2 linked regions of the Danio rerio genome follow. The protein of the gene in region 1 purifies or fractionates together with the protein of each later gene. This does not show direct contact. Links are inferred from orthologs where the notes say so. Each region holds a gene or a part of one and is shown on either strand. Other genes may lie near its edges.

Region 1 (3,832 bases):
TCAAATTTTGTGTGCATTATAGATTTATAATTTTTTTAATGCACTACCTAAATTTTTTAGGCGTTATTTTGGTTGTTGAATGTGGTTTCATTTCTGGTAATTTACTGAACTGGTTATGTGCTGAACATGTTTAACTGACAACACAGGCAAATCATCCAAAAGGTTAATATAATACACTACAATATGGCAGTGCATGAGTTTAAAGTGATAGTTAAAGAAGTGTAGTGAACACATTTTTCTGACAGGGTCAGACTAACGATTGATCTTTTTAACTGTAGCTGGGAGATCATTGATTCTGTCCAGGAGGGCAAGTCTGCATCAGGATCTCCATTCACAGACTTCTGGACGAGTCTCAAGTTGTTCATTGAGGAGACATCCTCTTTTAAACAGCAGAATCCAGGCAAGGTATGGATAGATTTGAGTAGATGATTCCTAACATGTCTTCTTTTTTACATCAACTTAAAAATTGTATTAAAACTGTAGAAGGAGAACTACATACCTAACAAGTCCTCATTTCTTTTACAATTTTTTAATTATTTGTAATCATCATTTTGCCTTCACTATTTTACATGTAATCACTTTGCAGTGTAATTCTTGCAGTAATTCATGTTTTTTTTGTGTCGTGTTTATTCAAAATTTTCAAGATGAATGTACAATGTGCTTTCAAAAATACAACCAATTAAAAGCTAATTTTAAAGACATTGCAACATAGTCCAAAAATGAATCACAAAACCAAATCATAAACAATAATAACACATAAATGATTGTGTAATAAGAAAATACAAATATGAAAAATAAAAGAATAATAAGACAAATAAATGTAAGGACAACATAATAAAGTAATTAATGGTATATTTCTATTTTTTATTAAATTTTATAAATAATTTCTAACCATTATTAATTATTTTAAAGATTTGTATAGTTTTAATGTTGAACCCTATGTGTAACTTCATCAAAATTTATAAAAATATAATTTTTAAATAAAATAAAAATATGACAAAGTCATAAACATTTAAGTGTCCTGTAATAACCCCCAGTTGCACTCCATAGTTTTCCAATGAGTATTTCAATTAGAGGCCGTTAATGAGTTCATGTTTTATATAGTAATTTAATGAGAAATATTACAAGTATGCCATGTAATTTTAATGTAGGCTTTTTAGCAGCTGTGTTTATAATCATTTAAGTTTAGTATTTCCCATTGCATGTATTTATTATTTCACACAGTGATTAATTTACAGTGAACTGAGCCATTTTAAATTTGTGTCTCATTTGCAGTTTTGTCTGCTGGTTTGCAGTATGTGCTCTTTTCTAGCAATACTTGGACGTTACGTACCAGGGGTTGTTATTTCATACATTTTAGGTAAGTACCAAAAAAAGATCCTAAACATATAATGATAATAATAGTTATTTTGTCTTATTTTTTCACTGACATTTCTTTACAAATTCAATTCAATTTAGGTTTAATTAGAAAGCACCTTTACAATGTAGATTGTGTCGAAGCCGCTTAACATAAAAGTTCTAGTAAAGTCCAGATTTCAGAGTTGAATTCATTTAAAATACATTCAAAATACATCCAAAATGAATGTAACCATGCTGCTACTGGCCAAGGAGAGCAAACCCCCTCCGGATTTACCTCCAGCACAGCCCATTCGTCATGTGGTAGTGGATTCTTAGTAATGTCACTGTGACGACATTCACATTCACACTCAGTCTCTGGTTTCTTTTTCTTCCTGGCAGTCAGCAGGTTCGTAAGTGTGAGCCTTACATTAATAGTTTACACATCTGTTTACCGCAGTGCTGGGTATTTTTCTCTGGCCTTTGGTGTCGTCACATGAGTTCGGGATGTGGTTGGAACCAGTTCTGCAGAAACTGGACTTTGGAGTGGCCGAGTTTTTTCAGAAAATAAAGGAGAATCACGGTAAATCCCAAATACACTCACTATACAAAATTGACTTTACATTTTTAAATTTATATAGTTTCTCCCTTGGATGTGCTGTTTTTGATTTATGTAGCCCAAAACAAATGCCTCACCGGACAGACTCTGTTCCTAATCCTAACGTTCTTGGAAAGCTTTCAACTTTTTAGCTTTTGGTACTTAAAACCCCTATAAATCATTGATACTCTATTCACCCAAATGTTTTAAGCTTTAAAACTAGGGAAAAAAAACCCATAATAGTAGTCTGTGTTACTCTGTTACTAAATGATTAATGCCAATTTTTTTACATTTCCAGAATGCAAGGATTAAAGATATTATTATATATAAAGTTAATTTTTAAATTATTGATGCATGTTAGAGCTTTTGCATCACTTCATAAAATTGGAATTAATCCACTGTAGCAACAGGATTACTTTCACATAGTTTTGAACAAAAGATGAACGTAAGTCATGTAAGCTTGGAATAACATAAGGGTACACATAATACATTTATTTAGGTTTAAGACAAAATTCAAAAATACTATACAGGTATCTGAAATAAAATGATTGAAGCAGTAAAATAAACCTAAAACTGAGATTAAAATAAAGCTAAATCAAATTACTTGATTATTAATAGTACATTTTTAAAGGGACAGTTCACCTAAAAAACTAAATTCTGTCATCAGCTATTCACCCTTCACTTGTTCAAAACAAATCACAAATTAAGATGTTTTGAAGAATGCTGGTTACTGGGACCAAATGACTTTCATAGTATCCCCTCCATCTCCCACCCCCACCATGTTAGTCGATGGGTTTCAGCGACCAGCATTCTTTAAAATATCTTCAGTAAACGATGAGGTCATTTTCAGTTTTGGGTGAACTAACCCTTTAAGTATTATTATATATACTAAGTAAGTATATAAATAATACTAAAATAATATTGCATGGAAAGTAATTCCTAAGGTAACCTATAAACCTATAGGGAGCATCTTTTCCCACTATACATTACTTCAAATGTATGAATCAACTTTGAGTCTTAGGTTTAGCATTAACATGTTGCTAAGCTAACAATGTGCTACTACAAACAACTTGAACATAGCAAACATGAACATCTTCACACTTACTCTCTTTCTGCAGAGAAAAGGATACTCCAGTCACAAACCGAGAGAGAGTGCATCGAAGCAGATCTGTCTGCACTTTTCCCCAAGGTCAGCACACTGTCACACAACTGAAGACAAAGGGTTTAATGATATAATATTCATATGTCCATTTCCTGTGAACCGATCTGTTGCAGATGGACTCCACTGTGTGCAAAGAGCTGTCCTTATCAGACACAGAGGTCTCTGAAGTCACGTGGACAGACAACGGCACTTTCAACCTTTCAGAGGGACACACACCTCAAACAGAGAACTCTGACGGTATTTTTTAAAATCTTAGTAATATACATATAGGACGCAGTGGCACAGTAGGTAGTGCTGTCACCTCACATCAAGAAGGTCGCTGGTTTGAGGCTCGGCTGGGTCAGTTTGTGTTTGTGTGCAGTTTGCATGTTTTTTCTTCGTTCGCATAGGTTTCCCCAACAGTCTGAAGACATGCGGTAAAGGTGAATTGGGTAGGCTAAATTGTCCATAGTGTATGAGTGTGAATGAGTGTGTGTGGATGGATGTTTCCCAGAAATGGGTTGTGATTGGAAGGGCATCCGCTGCGTAAAAACATGCTGGATAAGTTGGCGGTTCATTCCACTGTGGCGATTAATAAAGGGACTAACCCGAAAAGAAAATGAATGAATAAATGAATGAATTAATAAATATACCAATAGGAAGTATGTGTAGTGTGAGGGTAAATTTAAATATCATTCACCTTGGAAGCAAACTGGCTTGCTTGTTTTATACACATATTTATATATATATATATGTGT
Region 2 (4,520 bases), on another chromosome or scaffold:
TATCTGATCTAGTAACAACCCTGATTTAGATCGATTTACATACTAATAAAATTTTAAATGTTATTTGGAAAAATGTAGTTTTGTTTTAGCAGTATATTATTCTTTTTTATATTACTCATTGTAATGCTATGTGTTTGTTTATTTAACACTTACTTATATGAATACTTTATTTTAAAATAATTATCCAGCTGCTATTTATTTATTTTTGCAAATTTAACAAGTTATTATTAAATTGTATGTATTAGCCTTATTCTTAATACAATGTTAGGCTTATTTTAATACAAAAGTATTAATTACTTTTATTTATTGATATATATGTTTTATTTAAGCCTTTTCTCTGAACATTTCACTGAATGGGTCCCCCGGACCTTATTTTGAAAAGCCCTGATTTAGGGTAAAGTCTAGATAGAAATAGGATACACTGCTGGCTAGAAGTGCGATATGCACATCAATATAGCAGCAATTTTAATGACACTGTATAACAATAATTAATATTTTTACATTACTGTTTACAGGTTTAGAGTTAGGGTAGGGGTTGATGTTTTGTTATAAATGCCATAATGTTGTACATTCAAGTCTATCTTTACAAAAACCAATTTGCGTGTTGTATTATTCTGTAATGTGCTATATAAATCTGATATCAACTAATTGTAATGATCAGAAATTAATCATATATTTACTCTGTTTTCTCCACAGACAAGGACTATTTCCTGATCGTCATTCAAAATCCCACAGAGTAGTCCTTCTAAGTACTTCTGAAGTATTTTTTTTTCTGTAATTACAGGCCAAAAGTGTTTCATTTAATGTTTCAGTGAGGTTTATATAGTACTATTAACCACATAACATTACAGGAAGTTGCTTCTTATCCTATTATAAAAATATGGTTTGTACTGCTCTTGCTTATCATTCCAATAGTTTGCCATATACTTAATTTATTGTTTTCTCATTCTCATTTTTGCAAGTACTCCAAACTGTTCATCATCAAAAAGCAAAAACATGACACTATTACATACTGTACTTGTTTGTGAATGCTAACAGGACAATAAAACAACAATGTATTTCCTTTTATTACTTTTTGTGGCTGTGTGTATTCATATTGAATGGAAAAGGTGCTTTGTTTTTTGCCATAATATAAATTTAGTTTAGGTTTATATAGAGAATTGAAAATGATTTCATGTTTAAAATAATTCTTGTAAATGGCTGCAAAAACCTGTTTGAATTTAAATTGATCGCAAAAGAAGAAAATATTTTTTAGAAATGTTGAAAACTCTTGACTTAATTTTGCATTTTTCCCCACTACAATGGATATCAATGGTTACCGGATTCCAACATTCTTCAAAATATCTTCTATTTCATTTAATAGGAAATATTAACCCATAATAGTCTAAAACCAGTTGAGGTTAAGCAAATGCTGAGTAAATGTTTAGTTTTGGTTAAACTATTCATTTAAAGAGGACTCTGTCTCTTTAAATCTGATGACGTCACGAGCTTTAGTATATTGTCTCGAGCTGTTTTGCTTACAGTGAGTCAGGAGCTCGAAAAGAAGCCGAGTCGACCGACAATTCAGCATATAATAACACGCAAACCCTTTAAACTACTTTTAACCACATTCAAGCACAGTTATGCCATCCGACAGACCCTTCAAACAACGACGGAGCTTCGGTAAGATGAGTTTTATTCGTGCCTTGTCAGCCGAAGTGTATTTGTTTATCAGGTTTGTTTTTGTCCCTAGCCTGCTAGCAACTGCGTGACACACTGTTTACATTCCTCTACAAAGCTCTAAATGCTTATGAGACGATTATAGAAATAAATATTAAAGTCTAAATGACAGTTTTTAACAAAAACCGACAGAGGTCAGTTGCTAAACAGTAAGCTAGCTTGGGCTTTTTTATAGGCCTTGTGTTTAAATTTTATCAGCTTTATTTTTTTTACAACTGTTGTGTTTGTAAATACGTATATAACCTTATATTTAACTTTTTACTTAGAAACATAGATGAATGACATATAGTTACAGATATGTAGCTAGATAAATGTGTTGTTTACCAGCTTTGTGAAAATGTGAGATCAACATTTCTTTTTTTTGACAGTAGTGTTTTTCTGTTACATTTGGTGTAAATGATGCATTTATATATTTAGAATATTTATTGTTTGACAATAACATTGAAGGAAAGGATGGACTGTACACGTGCTGTTGATATGATGCTGTAATATGAGCTCTTTCTCATAGTCCAGACTGTGGACAGGGTGTGGGGAGGGAGGAGCATAAAACCCTTGCATAATCTTCCTAAACATAACAAGTGCAACATAGATTTGCTGTTTCAAACACATCTGTAAGAGTCCGGGTCAATATGATCTGCATACAGTCTTATATTTGTCCAGCCTTTGGGATTATACAATTGACACGGATGACCCAGACATGACATCAGTAAAAATGACACACAAGTTAGGAAGCTTACCCTGATAAGCAAGCTGGATTTTTTTTAGTTTTACTTTGAAATATACTTGCAGTGGTAGCCAGAATGAAACACAAGTTACCCACATCATCACTTAAATAGATATTGATTTTCGACAAACAAAACATAAGTTAATTTTTACAATTTTATTTATTATGACATTGTTATACAGTTTCTTTTCAATGGCTTAAAGTAAAAAGACTGTTGAAAAAAATCCACTATTTCTCTTACTTTTATACTATTCAGGAGCCATTTGCACCCTCTGACAGGTAAAATCTGCTTCTTTCACTCCAAGTTCAAAGCAAACTCGAATGCCAAAGCATTTTAGAAATGTATAGAAAATAGCCTATGTAATATATTAACATAAATTAATAAAATAATCAGCAGATGAGAAATAAATGATAGAAAAGGAATAAAAACAGACAATGTCTCTAAAAATGCAAATCTTGTAAATTTTAATTACAAGATTAAAACGTGTAGTTTATTTAAATAATGCAAATGCGTTGATTAACCATTGTTGAGCTTTCAGAGTGATAACAAAAGATATTAAACCTTTTAACAGAAATTAATGTTTGTTTGTCTGTTATACTGTACATTATGGTGGAATAGGTTTGTAGAGTAGGGCATGTCAAACAACACATCCGCAATTATTTTTCCTCAAGTTTTTAGGAATGTTTATTGAGCGTTTCTGCTAAACAGGTTTGACATAAGCAAATTCAGCAAATGCTAATGCAGTGATTACAGTGTTTTCAGGAATGAGTCTTGAAAATATACTTACTGTGTATTTTGAATTTGGACTGTAAAATGTATATTATTCAGAAGTGTACCAAATTTCTGTTTGTTTTTTGTCTTTTCAGCTGATCGTTGCAAGGAAGTGCAGCAGATACGAGAGCAGCATCCTAATAAAATTCCGGTGAGAAACTAGTTTTGTTTTATGCAAGTGTCATAAATGAATTTAGACTTATTGCTTTAGCCTTATTGCTTTCAAGATGTCACTTACCTGTCAGCTCCGGATTTCTTTTAAGATCCTGAAATTTATTACTCTAAAACAATGGGCTTCAACTTCTATGAGGGCCTTGGGGTGACTTAGAATTATTGAAAAAGAAAAGATGAAGCTAAAGCAGTTAGAAATACTGCATTTATTTAACAAAGCATCAATCATTTTAAAGTGTGATTTCTAGACCTTGGAAATATAAAAATAAGTAATATTAAAATACATTGTTCTATGTATCCACAGCTCTAAACCATTATATGAATATATCAAAATATATTAGGAAATAATCTTAATTTTTTATTGTAATCTTTATCTTTAGTGAAATATATTAGGAAATATATTTCAAAGACAAGACATTCCATTCTGTCATCTGCATCAAATTCAGTATAAGTGATTTTTATATACAGTTCTCTCCCCAGTTTGAAAATTTTTGGAGGCGAAATTTTTTTCCCCATTTCTCGGTGCATATGGATAATATATATTGGTGCATTTGATCAAAACCGATAATTAAACAGATATTTTTATTAAAAATAATATTTCAGTCACAGAACATATTTAGAAATGAAAAGATAATATATTTAAATTAATGCAAAATATTGCAAAAAAAAATTACAAACTACAACATTTCAACAAAATTGTATATATTTTTTGTAAAAGTTCCTAAGGCTCCTATGGCTTCAGTACTGAATAAACTAATGTATATGCACAAATAAAATATTGTACAGTATCCTATAGAAAATATTAATTGAAATCAGACATTTGTGGGGGGTGTACTCGTATATGCTGAGCACTGTACATAAAAAGCATAGTAACTTTCTACTTTAATGTTCTACTTTAACATTTTGACATTATATGCTAAATGATTAGAAAATATTGATCTATAATCATTTAGCATATAATGTAAAAATGCAATGGCAGCAGCTGGCTTTATTGTAATAAAATGTATAAAAGAATAGGTGATCATACTAAAACTGCACTAAAATGATTAAAAAGAACATTTTAATGTCATGATCAAATTATTCTTGTTTAAATATGCCTGAAGATTTTTCAAATATAAACTATTGCACTGACTA

The links.
Region 2: the proteins of retreg1 (region 1) and map1lc3a purify together in Homo sapiens (affinity purification with western blotting; 3 studies listed by BioGRID and IntAct, with this or other methods). This does not show direct contact. The link is inferred for Danio rerio from reciprocal best matches to the Homo sapiens genes RETREG1 and MAP1LC3A.

The regions. Positions count from the first base shown.
Region 1 is NC_133177.1:34,752,980-34,756,811, reverse strand, and holds part of retreg1 (reticulophagy regulator 1), read left to right. Parts: intron 1-278; coding exon 279-405; intron 406-1,275; coding exon 1,276-1,360; intron 1,361-1,795; coding exon 1,796-1,918; intron 1,919-3,051; coding exon 3,052-3,122; intron 3,123-3,208; coding exon 3,209-3,332; intron 3,333-3,832. UniProt on the Homo sapiens protein: Endoplasmic reticulum (ER)-anchored autophagy regulator which mediates ER delivery into lysosomes through sequestration into autophagosomes.
Region 2 is NC_133186.1:28,686,014-28,690,533, forward strand, and holds the start of map1lc3a (microtubule-associated proteins 1A/1B light chain 3A), read left to right. Parts: upstream 1-1,541; 5' UTR 1,542-1,622; coding exon 1,623-1,662; intron 1,663-3,310; coding exon 3,311-3,366; intron 3,367-4,520. Other genes in the region: dynlrb1 (dynein light chain roadblock-type 1), read left to right, coding at 697-740. UniProt on the Homo sapiens protein: Ubiquitin-like modifier involved in formation of autophagosomal vacuoles (autophagosomes). While LC3s are involved in elongation of the phagophore membrane, the GABARAP/GATE-16 subfamily is essential for a later stage in autophagosome maturation.